Mus musculus: one gene and its partners. The protein of the gene in region 1 interacts with the protein of each later gene in a pairwise test. Links are inferred from orthologs where the notes say so. Each region holds a gene or a part of one and is shown in the gene's direction. Other genes may lie near its edges. The genes, in order: Pex19, Pex16, Pex12, Pex11b and Pex10.

What was found.
Region 2: the proteins of Pex19 (region 1) and Pex16 interact in binary tests that used the Homo sapiens proteins (3 or more experiments, as listed by UniProt). The link is inferred for Mus musculus from reciprocal best matches to the Homo sapiens genes PEX19 and PEX16.
Region 3: the proteins of Pex19 (region 1) and Pex12 interact in a two-hybrid assay, tested with the Homo sapiens proteins (4 studies listed by BioGRID and IntAct, with this or other methods). The link is inferred for Mus musculus from reciprocal best matches to the Homo sapiens genes PEX19 and PEX12.
Region 4: the proteins of Pex19 (region 1) and Pex11b interact in binary tests that used the Homo sapiens proteins (3 or more experiments, as listed by UniProt). The link is inferred for Mus musculus from reciprocal best matches to the Homo sapiens genes PEX19 and PEX11B.
Region 5: the proteins of Pex19 (region 1) and Pex10 interact in a two-hybrid assay, tested with the Homo sapiens proteins (4 studies listed by BioGRID and IntAct, with this or other methods). The link is inferred for Mus musculus from reciprocal best matches to the Homo sapiens genes PEX19 and PEX10.

The regions. Positions count from the first base shown.
Region 1 is NC_000067.6:172,124,901-172,129,789, forward strand, and holds the start of Pex19 (peroxisomal biogenesis factor 19), read left to right. Parts: upstream 1-1,854; 5' UTR 1,855-1,878; coding exon 1,879-1,948; intron 1,949-3,730; coding exon 3,731-3,840; intron 3,841-4,254; coding exon 4,255-4,420; intron 4,421-4,889. UniProt on the Homo sapiens protein: Necessary for early peroxisomal biogenesis. Acts both as a cytosolic chaperone and as an import receptor for peroxisomal membrane proteins (PMPs).
Region 2 is NC_000068.7:92,377,933-92,382,124, forward strand, and holds the end of Pex16 (peroxisomal biogenesis factor 16), read left to right. Parts: intron 1-660; coding exon 661-741; intron 742-863; coding exon 864-1,016; intron 1,017-1,101; coding exon 1,102-1,174; intron 1,175-1,283; coding exon 1,284-1,403; intron 1,404-2,477; coding exon 2,478-2,542; intron 2,543-3,103; coding exon 3,104-3,162; 3' UTR 3,163-3,288; downstream 3,289-4,192. UniProt on the Homo sapiens protein: Required for peroxisome membrane biogenesis. May play a role in early stages of peroxisome assembly. Can recruit other peroxisomal proteins, such as PEX3 and PMP34, to de novo peroxisomes derived from the endoplasmic reticulum (ER).
Region 3 is NC_000077.6:83,295,983-83,300,691, reverse strand, and holds the start of Pex12 (peroxisome assembly protein 12), read left to right. Parts: upstream 1-1,714; 5' UTR 1,715-1,980; intron 1,981-2,138; 5' UTR 2,139-2,250; coding exon 2,251-2,376; intron 2,377-2,650; coding exon 2,651-3,204; intron 3,205-4,251; coding exon 4,252-4,651; 3' UTR 4,652-4,709. UniProt on the Homo sapiens protein: Component of a retrotranslocation channel required for peroxisome organization by mediating export of the PEX5 receptor from peroxisomes to the cytosol, thereby promoting PEX5 recycling.
Region 4 is NC_000069.6:96,633,895-96,638,759, forward strand, and holds the start of Pex11b (peroxisomal membrane protein 11B), read left to right. Parts: upstream 1-1,535; 5' UTR 1,536-1,793; coding exon 1,794-1,849; intron 1,850-1,952; exon of another isoform or gene 1,953-2,016; coding exon of another isoform or gene 2,017-2,030; intron 2,031-2,779; coding exon 2,780-2,895; intron 2,896-3,236; coding exon 3,237-3,438; intron 3,439-4,865. UniProt on the Homo sapiens protein: Involved in peroxisomal proliferation. May regulate peroxisome division by recruiting the dynamin-related GTPase DNM1L to the peroxisomal membrane. Promotes membrane protrusion and elongation on the peroxisomal surface.
Region 5 is NC_000070.6:155,065,712-155,070,362, forward strand, and holds the start of Pex10 (peroxisome biogenesis factor 10), read left to right. Parts: upstream 1-1,318; 5' UTR 1,319-1,357; coding exon 1,358-1,463; intron 1,464-2,111; coding exon 2,112-2,192; intron 2,193-2,951; coding exon 2,952-3,358; intron 3,359-4,651.

The DNA.
Region 1 (4,889 bases):
CTACAGAATGAGTTCTAGGACAACCAGGGCTACACAGAGAAACCCTGTCTCAGAGGAAAAAAAATCAAAACAAACCCAAAAAACTAACTGCCTTGTGTATCTTTTTCCTGAGCCACTCAGTTCCTATTAGTTTTCCCCAAACAGGTAACTACTTACCAGTTTCCTTATGGCCTTCAAAAAGTATATATTTATAAGTATATCACTGTGTTTTTCCCCACCTTCCTTTTATACATGGCAGGAACATAATCTTTTTTTTTTTTTAATTCAAGACATTTTAAAGTTTTATATGTGTGTTGTGTGTTTAGGTTTTCCTCATAGTATCTGGGTTATTTATGCTGATTATCAGCATTGCTGCAATGAGTAAACTGGAACATACATTGTGTGTGTGTGTGGGGGGGGGGGAGTGTGCCTGACTGAGGAGGAAAAGCTGCTCCAAAGAGCACAGGACTTTAGTGTTTTCAGATTTAAGAGTTGCTTTCTTAAATATAATCCTCAAACTAAGACTGCTTTCTCAAAAATGTGTATATTACGGGAATATTTTCTTAAGTTTTATACATTCTTCCTTCAAGGTCAGGCAAGAATCTGGCACAGCAATTCACAGCCATAATTCGGATTCTTGGAAGGTTAAAGCAGAACAATTGGCTAAAGAGCAAGATGCTGTCTCAAAAAAAAAAAAAAAAGATATCATGGTGGTTAAAGAGATGGCTTAGCTGTTTAGAGCAAAGACTGTTCTTGCAGAGGACTCAGGTTAGTTCCCAGCACCCACATCTGGTGGCTGCCAACCACCTATTGCTCTAGCTCCAAAGGGATTTGCCACTTCTTGCCAGCTGAATAGAAAAGAGAGACAGGTGTGGTGGTACACGCATTTAATGCCACCACCCTCGAGGCAGAGTCAAGAGTATTTTTTTCGTTCAAGGCCAGCCTGGTCTACAGAGTTCCAGGAAAGCCAAGGCTACATACAGAACATTCTCGATAAAACAAAAACAAGACAATCCCCCCAACACACAAAGAAAACTGAAAGAAATGATTCAAAGAAAGAATGCTTGTTTTTTAATCTGCTTAAGTAACATCTGTGTTTCCAATTCTATCTCCAGTCAACCTCTACAGGTAGGACCATCCCTGATCCACTTGTAGATTTCACTGTGCTCAGCACGATTGTATACAACAGTAGATGCTCATTATACGCTAAAAATAAATTGGATGATCTTTGTTTATCTGTTTTGTGTATATGTCAAGGAGCATATTCGGAGGTCAGAGCCAGCACATGATAGACATCTCTCCTACCACGTGTGCTTTGAGGATGAAACCAAGGTTGCTTCAATTTGGCAATCCTGTCTCAAGCGAAAAATTGCTCGTTTAATAGCTTCGTATTTTAGCTGAGCCCTGTGCTGTAATCTCTGTCCTTGGGAGGTGGAGACAGTAGGATTAGAAAACCCTGCCTGAAAACAAAACCCAGATTAAAGATTCCAGGTTAAAGATGGGGCAAGCAAAACGCAATAAACCCTCCCACCCCTTCTGACCCGCCCCCACAATACAGCTGGGCCTCATGGGTCAAGTAGTTTGGAAGTGGAGACGGGGAAGGGAGACCCCGATTTCTGGACCAGCTTGAGCAATCTATCTAGTTCAAGGCAAACCGCTGTGGCTCTGTAGCTCCAGTAGCCGAGTGCTTGCTTAATACGTGCAAGAACCTAGGTTTGAGGCCCAACCCAAGAAAAAAAACAAAAACAAAAACAAACCCAGTCTCCTGTCCCTTTAAAAATGGCGGTCCTGCACGGTAGAACGATATTATTGGCTGCTCAAGTCATGGGGGCGGGGTTGGGGCGGGGCATGTGGTGGCGCCAGTGGTTCCACCTCCTACGGCAAGTCGGAGGCAGTAAGATGGCGGCTGCTGAGGAAGGTTGCGGTGTTGGGGTCGAAGACGACCGGGAACTGGAGGAGCTTCTGGAAAGTAAGAGTGCACGATGGGAAAGACCAGAAGTATCGGGGAGAGGATCCATCGTGGGGGTTAGAGGAACTTGAGGTTTCTGAGCGGGGCGGGAGAATCTCTTCAGTGGTCAGCGGGGGAGGTGGTCTGAGTTCGACCCCGGCCCTCTTTATTAGCTGGCTGTGTCCAAACCGCACATCTCCCTGCGAAGGGGAACACTAACCGTAAAGAGCTGTTTCACGAGCCCCTTACAAACTTCTCTTGCTTTCGATTGTCGGATTGTTGTTGAGGCAAGGCTCTCTCACTCGGTATCCCAGGCTGATCTGGAACTCGCGGCAGTCTTTCAGCCTCCGCCACTGGGAGTACAGAGATCACAGGCTGGACCCACCAGGATCGCCTTCTGTAAATTATTAAAATCGCCTCTCCTTTCAGTAGCAGGATTCACAGAACAAAATAATCTTTAAGCTCCAAAGGTCCATATGTCCATGATAGTATCTTTCTTAACCCGAAACGCCTTTTTACCGCACAGTCTTTCCTCATTCTTTTACCAGACCCTTAGTTCTTTCGTGCGAGTAGTCAAAGAAGTCTCCTTTTAAAATTAGTGTGATGTTGAGAGACTGTCTCGTGTAGTTTTAGGCTGACCTCACACTCATTGAGTACTGTAGAGTGGCCCTGAACTTGTGATTTTTCCAGTCCCTTCCTCCGCATTCTCGCATGGCACCACAATGCCTGACATCCCTTATTTATCCTTTGGAGAAAACAAAGTGAGCCAGCCCCAGGGGAAAAGGTCTCCTCTTCCTGAAAAGATGGTGGACCTTCATCTCTTTCTTGGCCTTGCACTCCACTCCCGTTTCCTGCGCCAGTGAGGCCAGTGCCCTTTCCCTAGTCCTGGCAGGCAGAGTGATGGTGACAACACAGGCTTTTCAGGGCAGAGGTGAACCTTTTATCTCTTGCTCAGTCACAGCGATATAAGCAGGTAGAAAATGAACAGATGAAGTGAGGAGTGCCCAGTGACTGGCCTGGCCCAGGCTTACTGCATATGAGGCCAAGGAGGCTATAGGTGCCTGTTAAGGGCGATCTAAATTGGAGCATTATTTAAGAGTTAATACCTTCTTGTCGAATGTATCCTAGTAGTCAGAACGGTGGAAAGCCGGGTGGTATATTCTGTGCTTCCTCAACAGACGATATTAGCTAAGGCCTCAGAGTGAATTCCAAGAAATAAGGCTCTCTCTCCCCTCTTCTTCATGTTAGATGAAATGTGTAGGTTTTTGTTTGTTTGGTTGGTTGGTTTGGTTTTTCAAGGCAGGGTTTCTCTGTGTAGCCTTGGCTGTCCTGGAACTCACTCTGTAGACCAGGCTGGCCTCGAACTCAGAAATCTGCCTGCCTCTGCCTCCTGAGTGCTGGGATTAAAGGCGTGCGCCACCACGACCCAGCAGGGTTTTTTTTTTTTTTTAAGGGAATTTTATAGTGTGCATATAGAGATTTCTTTGCACAGCTTTTATTTAATTCTCTCCTCCTAATTCTGAGATGAACACTGGTTCTGTGTAAAAGGGTTTCCTTCCCAACTGGTCACAACAAACTAGATGGTTCTCAAGGAAGGTGGGAAGCCTATTGGCCAGTAGTCCAGGCAGAAGAGACACCAGAAAAAGAGAGAGAAGTCCAGGAAAGCCAGCACTTTGTATCATTATTTTCCTAAGAGTTTGTTTCAAATCACACGGCTGTCTAGCCCTTTCCACCCTCAACATCGCCACCACGTCCGTCTCTTGTCTCCGAAGGTGCTCTTGATGATTTCTCTTGTCTCCGAAGGTGCTCTTGATGATTTCGACAAAGCCAAACCCTCCCCAGAACATGCTCCGACCATCTCGGCTCCCGACGCTTCAGGACCCCAGAAGAGAGCGCCAGGAGATACTGCCAAAGTATCAATTCCCCCACTTAAGGGAGAGGGAGGATGGCCATGCAGCTCAGAGCAGGGATGGGGGGCCCTCTGGGCCAGAGGGGTGGCTGAGAGGGTGCCTTTGCCTCACACTGCTGAGTGTTCTTCCAGGCCTCAGTTCCTATGAAACGAGGACCTGTGGTTTTACGGAGGGCTAACGAGGAAAGAGGAAAGAGCGGTTTTAAGTGGTTGGCTTTGTATGCTACCTCATATTAGACCTTCAGTGGCCAGTCTTTGCTGCCCTCCGGAGAAGAGGTAGATGGAATGTTCAGTGGAGGTGCTCGTGGGAGGGGAGATGTTTCATTTCCCAATATGAGCTCGTTTAAGCGGCTAGCCCCAGGGTGATGCTATAGGAGGCAAATGTTGTCTCCCTCCCCACCCCACCCCACCCTTGCAGGATGCTCTCTTCGCCTCCCAAGAGAAATTTTTCCAGGAACTGTTTGACAGTGAGCTGGCTTCCCAAGCTACTGCGGAGTTTGAGAAGGCAATGAAGGAGCTGGCTGAGGAAGAGCCCCATCTGGTGGAGCAGTTCCAGAAGCTCTCAGAGGCAGCTGGGAGAGTGGGTGAGGAAACCCCAAACATAATACTGGACAGGCCTCTTAACTGATTGAGAGTACCAGGATTGTAAAATTGATGACCATCATGATGTCACAGCCATGGCTGGGGGTGGGGGGGTGTAAGGCAAGAGAAAGAGCTGTGGGAATCTAGCTTACTAAAAGGAAAAAGGTAAGATATTTTGGAAAGTAATGAAAAAAGATTATTCCAGCCAGGTGTAGTGGCTTATTCAATCCCAGCACATCAGAAGCAGAGGTAGACGAATCTCTATGAGTTTGAGGCCAACATGATCTGCATGGTGAGTTTTACAACAGCTGGAACTACAGAGTGAGACCGTACCTCACAAATCCTCACAAATCAATACGATTCTCCCAAAGCAACCCTTTTAAAGGAGTGTTACTGTGGAGAACAGCTAACACAGTACCAATATAGATTCATGGCATGCCCGTGAAGGTAACTACAGAACAACTAAGATTT
Region 2 (4,192 bases), on another chromosome or scaffold:
AACTTGGGAGTTTATTTGTTTGAGCTCCTGCCGGTCAAACCCAGTGTCTTGTACATGCGAGTCGAGTGCTCTACCACTGAGCTTCACTCCCATCCCTGAACTTGGGACGTGTGCAAGAGTCCTTCTTTTCTGTTGTAGGCTACAGGAACTAGGGATAGCGCACCAGCACAAGGTAGGTGTCCTGCCAAAATTGTCTTGGGCCTGGTTCTGTATCATGAACCGTATCCTCAAGAGGCAGGGCACCTGGCTGCTCTGGGCCCCTCCGTCAGCCTCCAGTCTTCCCCCTTATTTTGAAAGGGGACAGTGATGTGAACTTGACCACAAGAGATCGAGAGAATGCAGCCTCACAGTCCTATAGCCCCGACAGATGTTGATGGGGTGGGCCCTCCTATCCTTCCTTTAGTATCTTTAGGCTCTTGGTTGACTGACTGTGCGTGAGGATGGCCTCTTCCTGGGCCAGGGTAGGTGCCAGAGTGCTTCCCTCTATGGAAAGATTTTTGCCAAACCACGGTCTCTGGGTGTGATTCCCTTAGTTCAGCTGCTGCCTGAGGCCAGGCTCTTGTGCTCTGTAGATCCTCAAGCATTCACTGTACACATGTTCTCTGCAGGCTCTGCTAGGAATGTGTCCCTCTTACATTATGTCCTGTTTATGCCTGCTAGATGGTGACCACAATCCGGGCAGCCAGGAGCCATCATATGTGGGGAAACGGTCACACAGAGTGGTGCGAACCCTCCAGAACAGTAAGTGGAAGATGTAGCTGGACTGGGCACCTAGGTGCTGAGGTCAGTGTGAGCCCGTAGGACTGGCTTCTGTCAGCACCCACTCTGGCTCCTGGCTCACTGACCTTGTCTTTATATTCTAGGCCCATCCCTGCACTCACGGTACTGGGGAGCCCCTCAGCAGCGGGAAATTCGGCAGAAACAGCAGCAGGAGGAACTGAGCACACCCCCAACACCTCTGGGGTTGCAGGAGACCATTGCAGAGTCTTTGTACATCGCCCGGCCCCTGCTGCACTGTATCCTTAGCTGTGCTGGTGGCGGGCTGGGGAGGAGCTGAGCTGGACCCTGCACTGCAGATATCCTTGACATCTTGACCGTCAGTGCTCAGCCTGGGCTTATGGGGTCAGCGATCGTGGACACCCTGGCTACTGTCTGGTGTGGTAGATATGACTAGGTGAGAATGGGTGAGGATATGGAGTTCCATGGGGCTCTCTGCTTGCTGTGTGGCTTTTTCTTTCTCAGAGTCATAGGTCATCCTTGTCCCTATGTCCCTTCCCCTACAGCCTGAGTCTCCTGAGTGACAGGAAGAACTTGACCCGGAGGGAGCGGCTAGAACTGAGGCGTCGCACAATCCTGCTGCTATACTACCTGCTACGCTCACCGTTCTATGACCGCTTCTCTGAGTAAGGATAGCCTTCCTCCCATCACCAGGGTATTCCGTGCTGCATGGAGAGGGCTGGGGTCTGCTGAGTAACTGCTGGCTCTGGTGCTATTTAGCCTCCAGAGCCACATGGCCTGCCCTCAAAGGGGACAGGCCAGTGTGAATTTTCATACTTGGTGTTGAGAGACTGCTGACAGCAGGGTACAAGATCTGCAGGGCACAGTTGGTGCAGACTGCCCCTCTCCAGTTCTTTTCTCCATGGGACATCCACTTCGCAGAGCAGGCGCTATGCTTCAAAGGGGCTGGGCAACTAAGCAGGCCTCCACTAGACTGTTACTGCTGGGCCCACCCAACACTGATCAACTTTGAGGATCAGAGCCCCTGCATTAGCCAGAGAAATCTCTGAAAAAGGCCTGCCAGGGCACTATGACATATGGTGGGGTGTCTGAGCAGGAGCTGGGCTCATGTCCTCGCCTGTAAACAGGGACAGTGTTGGGGCCCGGCTGATAGGTTTTATAGCATGCGGTAACCGAATGTGTTTGCCTGTGCTTGATATATAATGACGTGATGTTAGGTCTTGTCCCCCCGAGGACTGCTGGGGTTCAAGCCGCAGGCCTCAATGCTAAGCACATGAACCACATCTCCAACCCGCCCCAAGTTCTCCTGTGGAAATCCCCTATCTTAAGCCTCTCTCTGAGGCAGAGGGGACCTTCCCAGACCCCGCCTACTCTGAGCATTGGCTGGTGAGGTTTCTGTGTAGTTCTGCTCTTTCACCAGCTTCCTTCCCTCCGGAAACTTCCAGGGTACAGACCTTGCTCTGAGTGGCCCCTAGGAAGCACTGTTGTTGAATACCAATGGTAGGAAGGTAGAAAAGAGAGGAGGGGAGGGGTATGAGTGACGTCTGCCAGCTGACAATCTGACAGCTGGGAACATGGGGTGCAGCTGTGGACAAGCAGACTTCCGGTGGTCTAGCCTTTCGTTGGGTCCTAGTCCCTTGTTTTCTGAGATGCCTGGTGCTCAGTAAAGGCCTTTAGCTCCTGGTCAGCAGGGAGCCGCCCCGCCTGCCCCTCAGCATGCTGTTCTTTTCCCCAATCAGAGCCAAGATCCTCTTCCTGCTCCAGCTGCTTACAGACCACATCCCTGGCGTGGGTCTGGTGGCAAGTAAGTGTGGTAGGACAACGTGGTGTGGGATGTCCCTGAGGCACAAAGGGCCCGTTTTAATGTTTGCTCTGTCCTTTTTTGGTGTGATTAATGGGCAGTCAGGAGTGAACCTGAAATCAGTACTGGGAGGTGACAGTGCCAGGGCCGAAGGTGGCCCATGGAGGTGGGGCTGTGGCCAGAACAGTGCCTGTGTTGGATTATTAGGCCATATCAGGTTGGCAAGCCTCCTCCTGCCTTTGGGACCTGCATATTTGGAGGCAGACTTATCTGGTAAGGCAAGGAGGGGCCTTGGGGCTTGCCTGGGTACCCAGCCATAAAGGAAGACATGCTGAGCATGTTCCCTGGCAACCTGGGCACCTTGTCTGTGACCTAATCTCTAACATAGCATCAGAGGCAGGAGGTGTGGTCTCGAGCTGCTCTGCTGGTGGCAGTGTCAGAACAGGGCACAGGGCAGGGCCAGGGGCCTGGCTCCTCTAACCCCGCTTCCCTCCATTGCAGGGCCTGGGGCCAGGGGCCTGGCTCCTCTAACCCCGCCCCCCATCCCCCTTCCCTCCATTGCAGGGCCGCTCATGGACTACTTGCCCTCCTGGCAGAAAATCTATTTCTACAGTTGGGGCTGACAGCCATGAGGGAGCTGGGGCAGAGGGCCATGTGCTGTGCTCTGCTGCTCTGGGCAGGGCCCCTCAGCCCTCCAGTTCCCCCAGGCCCCTCTTCTCTAATAAACCTGACTCTGGTAGTGTCCAGCATGTGGCTCTGTGTCATCAGCAGCTCCTCTCCTGCAGCTCAGCTCTTCAGCCCAGTCACCACAGCTGTTCCTCTTCACATCCTCCTAGAAGGAAGCCACTGCATTCTGCTCCTCGTCACAGAGCAGGAGATCTCCATCAGGCCCAGGGAGCTGCTGTCACTTAGCCTTCTCCGGCATGGGTCACCGTTTGCCTCAGCTGCCTGACTAGATGCTTCCATCTCACTAGTCCCTGGTGAAGACAAGCTGAACTGGGCCATGGATTACCGTAGTCTACCTAACATTCCTTGTAGCCAGGGCCCCCGTTTATCCTTTCCCCTGCAGGGCTGACCAGCAAGCCCTAGGAGATGCTCTTCTCTACCGCAGGAGATAGAGTGACCCTGAGTCTGTAAGGGAATGGGCAGAGTTTGGGTGTGTGCTGGAGTTTCTCTCCAGGACACTTCTCCACAGGCTGACTGGCTCAGGAAGACAGATTGCTGGAGCCATGCAGGCTACTTGGAGAAGACAGAGGAGGGTGTGGCAGGACTGCGTGGGCCTCAACTCTTCTGTCCATACTCCCTGTCCTTTCCTCTCTTCTTCTGCCCTTCCCTTTTAGACAAGAGACTTGTGGGCTTCAAACTCAATGGCAGTCTCATTGTGGGACCATAGGGCTAAGCTGTCACACCTCCCTCCCTCCCTCCTGTCCTTGTGTGGACTGTTCCCAGAAGTGCTGCCAATGGCCTTTGGAGAACACTGCCTGCACCTGTCCCTCAGGTCTCCCCTCATCCAAGATGCCCTCATAGTCTCAGCCTTAACCTGACATGCTTGTCACATGATTCTGAGAGCCATAGATGCCTGCTGTGAGCCAGGGTAGTGGGAAGGACAGTTTGTCCGTTTGTTGGCTTTGGAACCTGTGACCCTCTGCTTAG
Region 3 (4,709 bases), on another chromosome or scaffold:
GTGAGCTACTCCATTTAAACGTTGCATCTGTACAAGTATGTGTCGGTACCTCAGGAGACCAGAGAGAGCACTGTATCCCTGGAGCTGGGCTTACAGTTAATTGTGAGCCTCTGAATGTGGGTGCTGAAAACTGAACTCAGGCCCTCTGCAAGAGCAACAAGTGCTCTCACCTGCCCATCATCTCTCCAGCCTTCCCACCTAGAGTTTAAGTTCCTTTTGTTTTAAAATAGCCTGCTTCTGTTCTTTGCAACTAAAAACCTTAATTGATGCAAATGTTTCATTTTCTACCTGTTTTAGCTATTTCTTAGCTGTGTGTTTTTGCTATTCACTTAAAAGCATAAACAGCTAGAGAGATGCTCAGTGGGCTGGAGAGATGGCTCAGTGGGCTGGAGAGGTGGCTCAGTGGGCTGGAGAGGTGGCTCAGTGGGCTGGAGAGATGGCTCAGTGGGCTGGAGAGGTGGCTCAGTGGGCTGGAGAGGTGGCTTGGTGGGCTGGAGAGATGGCTCAGTGGTTAACAGCACTGGTTGCTCTCGCAGAGGACCTGACTTTGGTTCCCAGCACACACATGGTCTGTAACTCCAGTTCCAGAGAATCAAACATACTTTTTTGACCTTTGCAGTTACCAGGCTGCATGTGGCACATACATATATGTGCCAGCAAATACTAGTACAACCTAAAAATCTTTTTAAAATTAAGACCCCATTGGTTAGCATGCGATATTTACCAGATGCTTTATGTAGTTCTCGGGTCCTTAAAACTCAAGGCTGAGCACGAAAGCCAACTTGAATGCTAGCCAAGGATATGTACATAAACCTTAAGACTCTTAAGCTGAAGCCGGGCGTTGGTGGCGCATGCCTTTAATCCCAGCACTCGGGAGGCAGAGGCAGGCGGATTTCTGAGTTCGAGATCAGCCTGGTCTACAGAGTGAGTTCCAGATCAGCCAAGGGCTACACAGAGAAACCCTGTCTCGAAAAAAAAAACCAAAAATCAAAAAAACTTTTAAGCTGAAACAAACATTATTTAAAACAAAAATCTTTAATACTTTTTAGAAATTCAACAATTGCACTTCTGACAGTGACTTTAGTGAAGTATGGATCATACTTTAGAACTATAAAAAAACTTCAAAATTTAAATTGAAACTAAAACCAATCCCTTTATAAGGTTCTCATTATACAAACCAATTGCCCACTTTTATACCCTAAGGTCCTCTAGAGCTGAATGCTACTATTCAGTTCGAGAATCATAACGATCCCTGCGCTGCTAATACTGCTAATACCTACTGAGCTGGAGGGCAGGAATCAATTTCATCTAGCAGAATGTGCCTAGAGCTATAACTTAATTTTACACATGGATGACAAGTTAAGCTGTCTGTAAGTAAGTAAAAAAGTAGCCGTCCTAAATTCTGGTAGGCAAGAATGAATCTTTTGTCATTTTAGTAAAACTTGCTGATAACTGACTAACACTCGGGAAGGTGGCCGACTTTGAGCTAAGCACCACCTGGCAGAAAGGACCTGGCTTGATCTCCCATGGCAACCGGCGTCAGGCAGGGACCCCAGCTCGGCACAGAGGCTCGAGTACCGCCCTCCAGGAAGCTTCGCTCAGAGCTAACCAGGAACAGAATGCACTCACTGCACTAACCCGTCGCCTCGTCGTCAGGGGGGCGGAAACGGAAGTCCCAGTTGGTCATAGAGTTCCCGAGTTCCGGCTCAGGGCTACATTCGATGCTAGAGCGCCTGTCTTCCGCCCGCCGTGTGGAGGTCCTCGGAGCTTCTGTTTCCGGGTACGGTTTCGGTCACAAAGCCGAGACCTCCTTTCGCAGGTGGCGTCACGGGTCCTCTGCTCCGTGCCCGAGGTCAGCAAGCAAGGACGGGCGCTTCTCAGGCAGCCGCCGGAGCCGGGCCTCGCAGCTCCCGGACTGCGGTTCGAGCGACACGTTTCTTGGCCCACTCCCCGCCTCCGAGTCACGCTCTGCCCTGTGAGGTGCAGCATTTGACAAGTCATTCCCCAGACCCCACGTGCCACGTCCCCAGCTCCGGAGTTAACAGTCCTTACTTTGAGACTCCCTCTCCTCCGCCTCCATATAAGCTCCCCCCACCCACCCCCGTTGATTTTTCACTCCTGTAAAATTCAATTTTTAGTTTCAGGTGCCATGCAGAAGGACTAAGACTCAGCACCCGTTTGATACAAAAACAAGTTCATGCTCACTAGAGTGTTCGTGGGAAAAGTGAATCCCAGTTCACACAAGACACAATGGCTGAGTATGGGGCTCACATCACAACTGCTTCAGTGGCGGACGACCAGCCATCCATCTTTGAGGTGGTAGCACAGGACAGTTTAATGACAGCAGTGAGACCCGCTCTTCAGCATGTGGTCAAGGTAAGGTATTACTTCTCTGAATCGTTTCAGGGACGACTGGATAAAACTCCAAACATTTTACTAGTAACCCTAAGTTTGCAATGATCGCCATGTGTCATTTGTATCCAGGACTTAATGGGCATCCATTCAAAGAGCTCTGTACTCCATTCCTATGACCTCAGGAACTCAGACTATACCCCAAAAGCCAATTACTTAAGCCAGGTGTATTGAATTTAAAAGGAAAAGGCTGATGTGAATACAAACTGAAGACTGTAATAAAATGTTTTTGCATCAGGTTCTTGCAGAATCAAATCCTGCGCACTATGGCTTCCTCTGGCGGTGGTTTGATGAAATCTTCACTCTGCTAGACTTCCTGCTCCAGCAGCATTATCTTTCTAGAACTAGTGCCTCATTTTCTGAACACTTTTATGGCTTAAAGCGGATTGTGGCAGGGAGCTCGCCGCATCTTCAGAGACCGGCCAGTGCTGGTCTTCCCAAGGAACACCTCTGGAAATCTGCCATGTTCCTTGTCCTTCTTCCCTATCTGAAAGTGAAGCTAGAGAAGCTGGCTTCTAGCTTGAGAGAAGAAGACGAATACTCTATTCACCCCCCTTCTTCTCGCTGGAAACGATTCTACAGAGCCTTTCTGGCGGCCTACCCTTTTGTTAACATGGCCTGGGAAGGCTGGTTTCTTACACAACAACTGCGTTACATCTTGGGGAAAGCTGAGCATCACTCTCCCCTGCTGAAACTGGCTGGAGTTCGGTTAGCTCGACTGACAGCTCAGGACATGCAAGCTATCAAACAGAGACTGGTTGAAGCCAGTGCAATGCAGGAGCCCGTCAGAAGGTAAGGCCATTCCTAAAACCCCTTTATTAACAAAATTTGAAAATTTGTACCAATCATCCGGTCTACCCTAGCTATTAAGTCACAGAAGTTATTCCTCACATCCATAAAGCATGGGCCACCATCCTGGTGACCTCTCTCATAATAGGCACACCTTTGTGCATGCTTGGTGTATGTAAGAGCCCCATGCGTGGTATTTGCTTTGTGTTATCTTATGCCTCATCACAACCTGAATTAAATGCAGTGGCTTCATTTAACAGTTGAGGGAACCACTAGCCAGAAGATGGCAGAGCAAAGATTCAAGGCAAAGCGATATAATTAATTCTAAAGACTTCTTACCAAGGATGCAACATTACCTTTGTGGAGTGTTAATTCTCTCACAAGTTCAACATGTATGCATCCCAGTGTTGATAAGTTACTTTTTAGGTAAACTGCTTCTTCTGGATGGATTATCTATCTTCCATTTAAAAATTCTCTAAAGTTAAGTATCTGATGCCTTTCTCAAATCAAAACCTAAGTTTCTGTTGTTAAAAACAGCTTGGGGGCCGGGCAGTGGTGGCACACACCTTTAATCCCAGCACTTGGGAGGCAGAGGCAGGCGGATTTCTGAGTTCCAGACCAGCCTGGTCTACAAAGTGAGTTCCAGGACGGCCAGGGCTACACACAGAAACCCTGTCTCGAAAAACAAAAACAAACAAACAAAGAAGTTTGGGGTACAGCAGGAGAAATGGCACCGTGGTTATGTAAATGGCATGTACTGCTCTTCCAGAGGAACAGAGATCAACCCCCAGAACCCATATGTGGCAGTTTACAACTGCCTATAACTTTAGGTCACCTGGCCCAAACGGCACCTGCATGCATTTGGTGTGTGTACAAACAAGCAGACACAAACATAAATCTTTTAAAAACCAGAACACCAGAGTTTAGATATACACTGGCTTACAACAGACCCTCCAGCACATCAAGTGTGGAACTGCACCTATAGACATTACTCTGTGACCACATACAAATAAACTCTTTTCTTTGCCTCTTGCTCTCCTTTCCCAACAGCGTTGGTGAGAAGATAAAGTCAGCTCTGAAGAAAGCTGTGGGAGGTGTTGCCTTATCCCTCTCGACTGGCCTCTCTGTGGGTGTATTCTTCCTGCAGTTTCTTGACTGGTGGTACTCTTCTGAGAACCAAGAAGCCATCAAATCACTGACTGCCCTGCCCACTCCACCACCACCTGTACACCTAGACTACAACTCTGATTCTCCCCTCTTACCCAAAATGAAAACAGTGTGCCCACTCTGTCGTAAAACTCGAGTGAATGATACGGTTCTTGCCACCTCTGGCTATGTATTCTGTTACCGCTGTGTGTTTAATTATGTGAGGAGTCACCAAGCCTGTCCCATTACAGGGTATCCAACAGAAGTCCAGCATCTAATTAAACTCTACTCTCCAGAGAACTGAAAGAGCTTAGTGCATTATCTCACCACTCAAGTTCTATACTCTAAGGCCATGAGACGGT
Region 4 (4,865 bases), on another chromosome or scaffold:
TTTCTGAGTTCAAGGCCAGCTTGGTCTACAAAGTGAGTTCCAGGACAGCCGGGGCTATACAGAGAAACCCTGTCTCGAAAAAAAACAAAAAAAGTAAAGTGAGGATGTCAGATATATTGGAGTTAGAAACAGTTGTGAGCTGGAAGAGCAGACTGTACCCTTAACCACTGAGCCATCTCTCCAGACTCCTCCCTCACCCCCACCCCACTTTCTTTCTCCAGGCTGGTCTGGAACTCACAAAGAAAGATCTACCTGCCTCTTCCTCCCAAGGCTGGTATCAAAGGCATGCACCACCACTACACAGTGGTTTTGGTTTAAATATCTAATGAGGTTTTTGCCTGCATGTATGTTTATATACTATCTGTGTTCCTGGTGCCTGAGAAGATTAGAACAGGGCTCCAGAGCGTCTGGAACAGAAGTTACAGATGCTGTGAGCTGCTATGTGGATGGGGGATTCAATCTGTCTTCTGGAAAAGCAGCCAGTAGAAAAGCAGCAGAGCCAACTCCAGCCCTAGATTTCTTTTTATAGTGGTTGTAGAGATCTTGTTTGTGATATTGTAGGTTTTTTGTTGTTTTGGTTTTTTTCCTCCTCACAACTATAGTCAGGCTATTGCTGCTACAGGCAAGTTTTTTTTGTTTGTTTGTTTTTGTTTTGTTTTTCAAGACAGGGTTTCTCTGTGCAGTTCTGGCTGTCCTGGAACTCACTCTGTAGACCAGGCTGGTCTCAAATTCAGAAATTTGCCTGCCTCTGCCTCCCAAGTGTTGGGATTAAAGGCGGGTGCCACCATGCCCGGCTTCGCTTTTTTTTTTTTTTTTTTTTTTAAATAATGTGTAAAGGTGTAAAAGTGTTTTCCTTGTGTACCATGTTCATGCCTGGTACCTGCTGAGGTTTGAGAAGGGTGTTGGATCCCCTGGAGTTTACCCCCCTACTGCCTCTCCCCATCCACTTCATTTCTCTTCAGAAGAAGGCAGGTCTCCGTTAGGTATCAACAGCATGGTATATTAAGTTGCAGTAAGACTAGGCACCTTCTTTGATTAAGTCTTTCATGAGGCAACACAGCAGGAGGAAAGGGTCCCGCAGAATCAGAGACAGCCCCTGTTCCCGCTGTTAGAAGTCCCACAAGAAGACCAAACTACACAACTATAGCATGTGCGAAGCAGTCTCATGCAGGCTCCCTGTAGCAGTTCAGTCTGAGCCCCTATGGGCCCAGTTTACTTGACTCTGTGCATTTTCTTGTACAGTCCTTCCCCTTGTCTTATGCAAAATTCTCCAAGGTCTGCCTAACTTTTGGCTGTGGGTCTGTGCCTTTGTTTCTACCAGTTGCTGTGTGAAGCCTCTCTGATGACAATTGGGCTAGGCACCAATCTTTGAGTATAGCAGACCATCGTTGTCAAGCGGCATCTCATTACATCCGCTTTCCCTAGGACAAATAGTCTAGGACAGGCTTCTGCTGTTCTGGGCGTTTGGGGCGGGTGGCGTGTGCGCCTTGGCGGCAACCTACAGCGCCTCCTGGCTCCCGCAGGCCCCACCCCTTGCTGCTGAGAATTTAAAGCAGAATGTGCTCCTAGGGGCGTGCTTAAAAGCCGGAGACCATCCCAGAGAAGGGTGAGCTGCCGGAAATGCACCCACGATCTCGCTTCGCGTCCTGAAATTCCACTTCAAGGCCGGCTCCGGCTGCTTGGCTTTCCTGCCGCCGTTTGTCCCTCGCGAAGCCCCGTTGCTCGCCCAGGAGGCGTGACTTGGGGCTGGAAGCAGGCGGGCCGCTGCGCCGTGGGCCCGGGCTGCCGCTGTCATGGACGCCTGGGTCCGCTTCAGTGCTCAGAGCCAAGCCCGGGAGCGGCTGTGTAGGTGCGGCCGACGGAGGAGCGCGGGCGGGAGGGCAGAGCAGGGTCCCGCGAGGCGACGGGCGCGCTACGGGGTCCCTAAGGGTCAGCTGTGGCTACGGGGGCCCGCGCGGCCCCGGAGGCGTACTCCGCAGCCGGTTGTGAGATGATTCTTCCCTGCTCAAGGGAAAGATGGGGAAACTGAGGCATGAGTGGGCCAGCGGGGAGGCCACCTAGGTTTACTGTGTCCACAGAGAGCAACAGTTTCCTCGCTGCTGTGGTGGCACGAGGGGCGATCCTCTCGGTTCTGCGTCCTCTCACCAGTTGTGACCTAGGAGCCTCGCTATCTCGGCTCTTCTTCGGTTTCCATCAGTCCAAGAACCTTAATCTATCTCTTAGTTTACCTACCCGGAGAACTAATCTGCCCTTCAACTAGATCTTCCTCTGTCGTGTTTCATGTATAAAATCGCAGTGTGGACGTCTGCGATGAACCCCGGGCTGCTTACTGGCCCTAAACTTTAGGCCTCATCATTTTCAAAACTCTTAGTCTCTTAACTCCAAAGAGTGCTCTCCACCATCTTCTAGGCTTTATTTTCCTCGCATGTCTTTCCCTTCCCCTGGCTTTGAGGAAAAAAATGGAAAGATATTGGTGTGAAACCGAGGAAGTGTCCCTGGTGGGGTTTTTGTTTACCAATTATTATTTGTCTGAGTGTTTGGTCTGCAAGAATGTATGTGTACCACATGTGTGTCTAGTGCCTGCAAAGGACAGAAGAGAGTGGTGGATCCCTGGAACTAGAGTTACAGACAGTTATGAGCCACCGTGTGGGTGCTGGGAGTGGAACCCGGGTCCCCTGCAAGAGCAAGTGCTCTTAACCGCCTCACCAGCCCACGGAGGATATGGTTGGCAGAGGGGTTAGGGAGGCCTGTCCCTTACTCTACGTGTCCTCCCCTCCAGGGCCGCCCAGTATGCCTGTTCCCTTCTCGGCCATGCTTTGCAGAGACATGGGGCTAGTCCCGAGTTACAGAAACAGATTCGACAACTGGAGGGTCATCTGAGCCTCGGACGAAAGTGTAAGTAAAGCAGACCTTCCTCTTATCATCCTCAGCTGGTAGCCCATGGCCTCTCCTCCCGTTCTGCCAGTTCGCCATCATTTGCCACTCTCCTGCATGCCTCCAGTTGAGGTCAGAGAACAGGTATAAGGAAGTTAGCACTGATTGGAAAAACACGGCACGAGAACACTAAACTGGCACAAAAATGAATTACGATTGGAAGTTAAGAAAAAGAACAAATTATTTTTACTCTTTCTTCCTGTATGTTATTATTGCTTGCTCAACTTTTATTTTTCTCTTCCCCACCCCCACCCCTGCCTCTGGACTTCAAACCCTTGCTTTCCCTTGTTAATCTCTACAAGTGCTACGCCTGGGGAACTCAACAGATGCCCTGGAGTCAGCCAAAAGGGCTGTGCACCTGTCAGATGTCGTTCTGAGATTCTGCATCACTGTCAGTCACCTCAACCGAGCCTTGTACTTTGCCTGTGACAATGTCCTATGGGCTGGAAAGTCTGGGCTAGCTCCCCGAGTGGACCAGGAAAAGTGGGCACAGCGTTCATTCAGGTTGGTTTTCCTTTTATCCTACAAGACTATGTGTAGCCTTCATTCTGCAAAGCTTGCAAAGCTTGCATCGCTTGTAATAGTAAACATTTTGCTTTACACATATGGGTATTTTGCCTGCATGCCTGTGTACCATTTGTGTGCCTGGTGCTGGCAGAGGCCAAAAGAGGGCATCAGAATTGTAGTTCTAGATGGTTGTGAGCTGTCATGTGGGCTCTGGGAATCAAAACCCAGGTCCCAGGGAAGAGCAGCCAGTGCTTTTAACCACTAAACCATCACTCTAGACCCATATATTTACATTAATAAAAGTTACTATTGTAGGTGCTGCACATCTGTAGGTCAGACAACAGCTTTCAGTTGCTGGTTTTCTCCTACTGTGAGTTCCAGGTATCAAACTCAGGTTGAGAATAAAACTCAAGCCATTAGGTTTGCGTGGCAAGAGCTTCCACCTCCTGGCCCAGCTCCACTTCCATCCTCCTGGTCCATAACCTGCTATATATGAGACAGAGGGGTCTCAGGATTTTTTTTTTTTTTTTGAGTGTACAATGACTTTTCACGCCCATTGTTCCCACATCTGCTGATTCAAGCAACCACAGGCTGGAAATGTTGAGGGGAAAGTGCATCTGAATTAAACATGAAAATTGTTTGTGTCGTTATTCCTTAAACATTGCACATATATTGTATGAAATATTATAAACAATCGAGGTGGATACAGAGAATTGTGTGGAGTATGTATAGATGCAATACCACTTTATCTAAGGGACTTGAGCAGCTGTGGGTTTGGGTAGAATTGGATGGGCGAGCAGGGGGAAAGATCCTGAAGTTGATCCTCCATGGATGAACTGACTGTAAATTATTTGTTTACTTTTTTTGTTGTTTTTTTAATTTTTCAAGACAGGGTTTCTCTGAGGGATGTGGCATTACCACTCTGTATGGAGGACACTTTGAAAGGGTTGGTTCTCTCCTTCCACCACTTAGATCTCAAGATTGAACTCAGGTCATCACATTTGGTGACAATGCCTTTTTCCTGCTGAGTCATCTTGTGTGGTGTTTTTGTTGTTTGTTGTTTTGTTTTGTTTTTAGGTAGGTCCCACTATGTAGCCCAGTCTTGCCTGAAACTTAGGATTCTCCTGCTTTAGGTGCCCGGGTTCTAGGACAGCATTACAGGCATGTGATACCATGTCTAGCTTCTTTTTCTTTTGCGATAATGGGGTCGGGGTCCCATAGGACTGAGATAACACAGTTCTTCTATAAGCATGAAGACCTGAGTTTGATTTCCCAGAACCCATGTTAAGAAAACAAAACCAAGAACCAGGCATACTGACACATTCTTGCAATTCCAGCAGTGTGGAGTTAAACTGGACAATTCCTAAGGCTCTCTGGCCGGCCAGCCTGGGAAAATGAGCAAGTTCCAGGCCAAGTGAGAAAAT
Region 5 (4,651 bases), on another chromosome or scaffold:
TTCTGAGTTTGAGGCCAGCCTGGTCTACAAAGTGAGTTCCAGGACATCCAGGGCTACACAGAGAAACAGGAGCCTGGCCTTTCTGTCCTCCATCCTTGAAGCAGGAGGAAGAGTTTACAAGGAGAAAGTCACAAGGCTCAGTCTTAGGATCCTTGTGCTTCAGAAGGCAAGGGGTGGGAGGTGGCAAGGGCCGTATGCCCCTTCCGTAAGCAAGAGCTCTCGCTCTACCTCCACCGCAGAGTTCTGGAACCCTGAAACACTGAAGCAAAGGGGGACTCCAGGCCACATGGTCATCCGAGAATCCAGAGAACTGATCTACAATGATGTCACTACTCATCTTGCCCTTCCACTTTCTCTCCTCACTGAAAAGCCTCTTGTTTCCCTGATCTGTGCAGGATCTGTTTGGGTTAACAAGCTCTAGCAGCCCAAGCTAGTAGAAAAGATGGGCTGATAGCTCCACCTGCTGGCCATCTTGGGTTTTGTCCCATAGGAAGAATCCTTGAGAGCCCACAAAGGAAGAACTTGAGGATCAAGGCACCGCTGTGCCTAGGATTTAAGCCCACGGAGAGAGACGCTTACTTAGGCCGTATCCCTGAGAACAACAGATACTTGAATAGTGTTTCTGGTCTTGTTCCCCATGGCTGAGAGAAGAGAATGCAAAAAAGCAGTCGCGTGTAAGGAGCAGTCCAGGCGGGGACACTTAGAACAGGCCATACCCCATGGTTATGGTAGAAATGAGCTTCCAAGTTTGAAAAGTCTTCCAGCACAAGCGGCCTTGGGCCTTCAGAGAATCTACATTTCAAACTGTCACATTTGATTTGGCTAGAAGTTCATGCCTCTGCATGAGCCGTGACTGCCTCCTAGCAGTGGTCAAAGGTGCTATCTGGGATTGCCCAACCCAAGCTGAAGAAACCAGGGCATGGGCAGGGAGGAACTCCAACAACTGGAGCCTTCAGCAGTCCGTTGGAATCACGTGGCTATCCCAAAAGATCCACTTTTGCAGCCCAGAGACACGTACCTCCTGCCAGAAAACTGAACCTGAATCAGGCCAAAAACACATCTGCGAGGCTGAGCTTTCTCGGGGGTCCTACCCACTAGGTATCTACCTCCTCCCTGTCATTACCCGCCACTTCACTGTGCCGCTTCACCCTCCAAGCACAGACCACACCCCTCCCCGGGTAGCCCCACCCCTATGTCGTGGACACGCCCACTACTCCGCCTCCACAGATGTCACGCCTAGGCTCCGCCTTCGCCCGCGTGGTGTTCGCAGCCTCAGCCCCACGACGGACGCACGTCGAGCGTCACAGGCCCCGCCCACGAGGTGCGCAGGCGCGGTGCGAGCTCTGCGATTCGGGCCATGGCGCGGGCGGGTGCCCCTGAAGTGATCCGGGCAGCGCAGAAGGACGAGTACTACCTGGGAGGCCTGCGGAGCGCGGCGGGTGAAGCGCTGCACAGCCTAGCGGGTGAGCGTTCCGGGCACCCAGACAGGCGGCAGCTCCAGAGTTTGCTTGGAAAGCGGGGATCAAAACAGAGGTACACACTGCTGACCACATTGCAGGTCTCTGCTTTAGTGTTTCTCAAGCATTTGCCCATTTATTCTCCAGACGCCCCTACAGGGTGGACCTAACGTCATTACTCTCATAGGTAGACACGTGGATCACACAGGCAGGGATTTGGGATTTCAGAGAGCCGAGGTTTGATACTAAACAGGTCGCCTCTGGCTTATGTTGTTAGCACTACCTAGACTTTCCTGGGCTCCATGTCTCTAGGACAGTACCTGACTCAAGACAGTTACAGTCGGGGCTTCTTAAGAGGCGGTCTTCGTCTCGGAGACATTCCGGTCACCAAGGGCAGCAGAGGAGGTGAAGGGAGAGACGAGTTGTTGAGGGTCGTCTTAGGAGTGACTTGACTTGGACTTTACCTGCCCTTCGGGAGTGACAGGGTTTCTCTGTGTAGCCCTGGCTGTCCTGGAACTCACTCTGGTCAGTCTGGACTCGAAATCTCTGCCTCCCAAATGCTGGGATTAAAGGCGTGTGCCACCACTACCCGGCTGGGAGTCATCTTAAGAGAACCACTTCACCTCTCTAGAGCTAATATTTTTCTTCTCTCAGGTGCAAAGAAATGGCTGGAATGGAGGAAAGAGATCGAGTTGCTCTCGGACATAGCCTACTTTGGCCTCACCACAATTGCAGGTAGCTGTCTGTGCTCGGCAGGTCCTGGGCACTGAGGGGCCCACAACCCACCCAGGTCTGGAGGGGATGCTTGAAGGCTCCTGGAAATCACCTGCATTAGTCTCTGTTTCCGGGAAGGAAGATACTGGCCAGAGGGCACTCACTGCCCCAGACTTTCTCTCAGCAGGATGGGCTTTTCCATTTATGGGGTACGAGGCAGATAAAAAGGAAGAGGCTATCGAGTGGGGGGAAGGGTACGAGCAGGGTCATGGTGAGACACATGGAAAGATCACAAGGTACTCCACAGGGCTGGCCTCAGGAACAGGAAGTCAGGATTCATCGTCTGCATGGTGGAGTACTAGAAGCTAGCTGCAAGCCATGGGTAGGCTTGGGGGCTTTTTATTCTGACTCCATGTGACAGCGTCAGGTAAGCAGTGGTATGTATGCCTGATACTTAGGACTCAGCCATCATCTAGAAGGTAGAAAGCCACAAGATCGGATCCCATCACTTGGACAGGGGTATGAGTTCAGCAGAGGAAGGACTGGAAAACAGAATAAAGACTTAAGGGAGTAGGAACCAACAGGAGATGCAAGGCCCATTCCAGAGTGGCCGTCTCTGTGACATGGTGAAATCACAGCAAGGCCACAGTGGGTTTAACAAGAAGTTGTGCTGGCCTTGGCTAGGTCTCAGGGTGACTGGTGAGGCTGGAGGGGGGACGACGACACAGGCTGGCCCGGAAACTTGTCCCTGGACCCTCATCACTGTGTATTAATCCTCAGGCTACCAGACCCTTGGGGAGGAGTACGTTGGGATCATCCAAGTGGACCCATCCCAGCAGCGTGTGCCCTCCAGGCTCCGCCGTGCAGCGCTGGTTGCACTGCATGCTGTCTTGCCCTACCTGCTAGACAAGGCACTGCTGCCCCTGGAGCAGGAGCTGCAAGCCGATGGCGATGCTCCCCGGGCTTCACAGGGCAGTCTGCTACCTGGAGGACGCAGCCGATCAGGGGCACGGCGCTGGGTGCGTCACCACGCAGCCACCCTGACTGAACAACAGAGGAAGGCCCTCCAGCGGGCAGTCTTCATCCTGAGACAGGGCTTCGCCTGCCTCCATCGGCTCCACGTGGCTTGGTTTTATATTCATGGTACCTTCTACCACCTGGCCAAGAGACTAGCAGGGATCACGTATGTAAGTAGCCATGCCAAGGGGACTGATATTCAGGCAGGGATCCTCTGAGCAGCATACTTGGGGACCCATGCTGACATGATCGCAGCCAAGTGTTCTGCTTCCAAGTTGCAATCGAAATTCTGTACTTGGGAAAGAGCGGAGTTCAGTTTTATTTTCCAAGAAAGCCCAGGAAAAGGAAAAGAAATCCAGTTCCCACAGACTGAAGGTGGCAGCAGACTTGGGTGCGTGGGCGGGTGACTGAGTGGCCAGGTCTGGCCTCGGCAGAGGGCCTGTGGCTGTGTCCATTTCACTGTTTGGAGAAGTGTGTGGAGTGCAGGTTCTAGCCCAGAGGCTGGCCTTCCCATGCATCCCTGCCAGCAGAGGGCCCTGTTCATCACCATCCAGAGCCCTAACAGAAAGGCAAGATCTGAGGGTTTGGTCCTAGAGTGAGTACATCGCCTCACCACAGCGCTGGCCACACAACAGTCCATACTGACCTTGTTGTTGCCTCTGGCAGTCCCCTGCCTCAACCCTAGTTTCCTACCAGTGCCCTTGTATCCTGTCACACCAAAGACCTCGCCCTGGTATCACCTCCATCCTCACCACCTACCTCACCTGTCAGGGGATCAAATGCCACCTCTCCCCTCTCCCTCCAGCCAGTGCGCTCCTCCCACACTCACTTATTATAGACACACCCATAGTCTGGTCTCAGGCCTTAACTTCCTTCCATACTGCCAGATAAAGCAAAACCTGCCCAAGCAGTCATCTAGTTTAGCAGATGTGCCTCCTTTCCCAGTAGCTGCTGAATGCTGGGCACTGGGTTTTGCTGTAGGGCTTGCAGTTTTCCTGTTCCAGCCCAAGGCACGATGTAACCTGGTGTCTTCATTTCCCTGCCAGTGGGAAGGCAGAAGTGGAAGGCAGCATAGTTTTGTTGTGATGTGTATGGCAGATACACCACTAGCCAGAGCAGAGGCTAGACCAGCATCCTTAAGGGCCAGAGTATCAGAGGGACAGTAACCACCTGTCCAGGTCCCCTTGCTATTCTCCACCCCACTCTTCCTTGGGCTCCTTCCCTCCCCCTGAAGTAGTCCCCAGACAGCTCTAGAACCCTCATCCATTTGCCTGGTCCATCCAGACTCCTGGGTCTGTGCTGCGGATGCCTCAAGGTCACCCTATAGCTAGGGTTCCCAGTCACTACTTAAACCCATCTCCATGTTGGTTCTTGTTCTCGGGACACTGCCAGTGGCCAACAGGAGGCCTGGCTGAATATAAAACCTCCAGCAGACAAGAGGCCAGGTCCTAAGGGATCCTGAT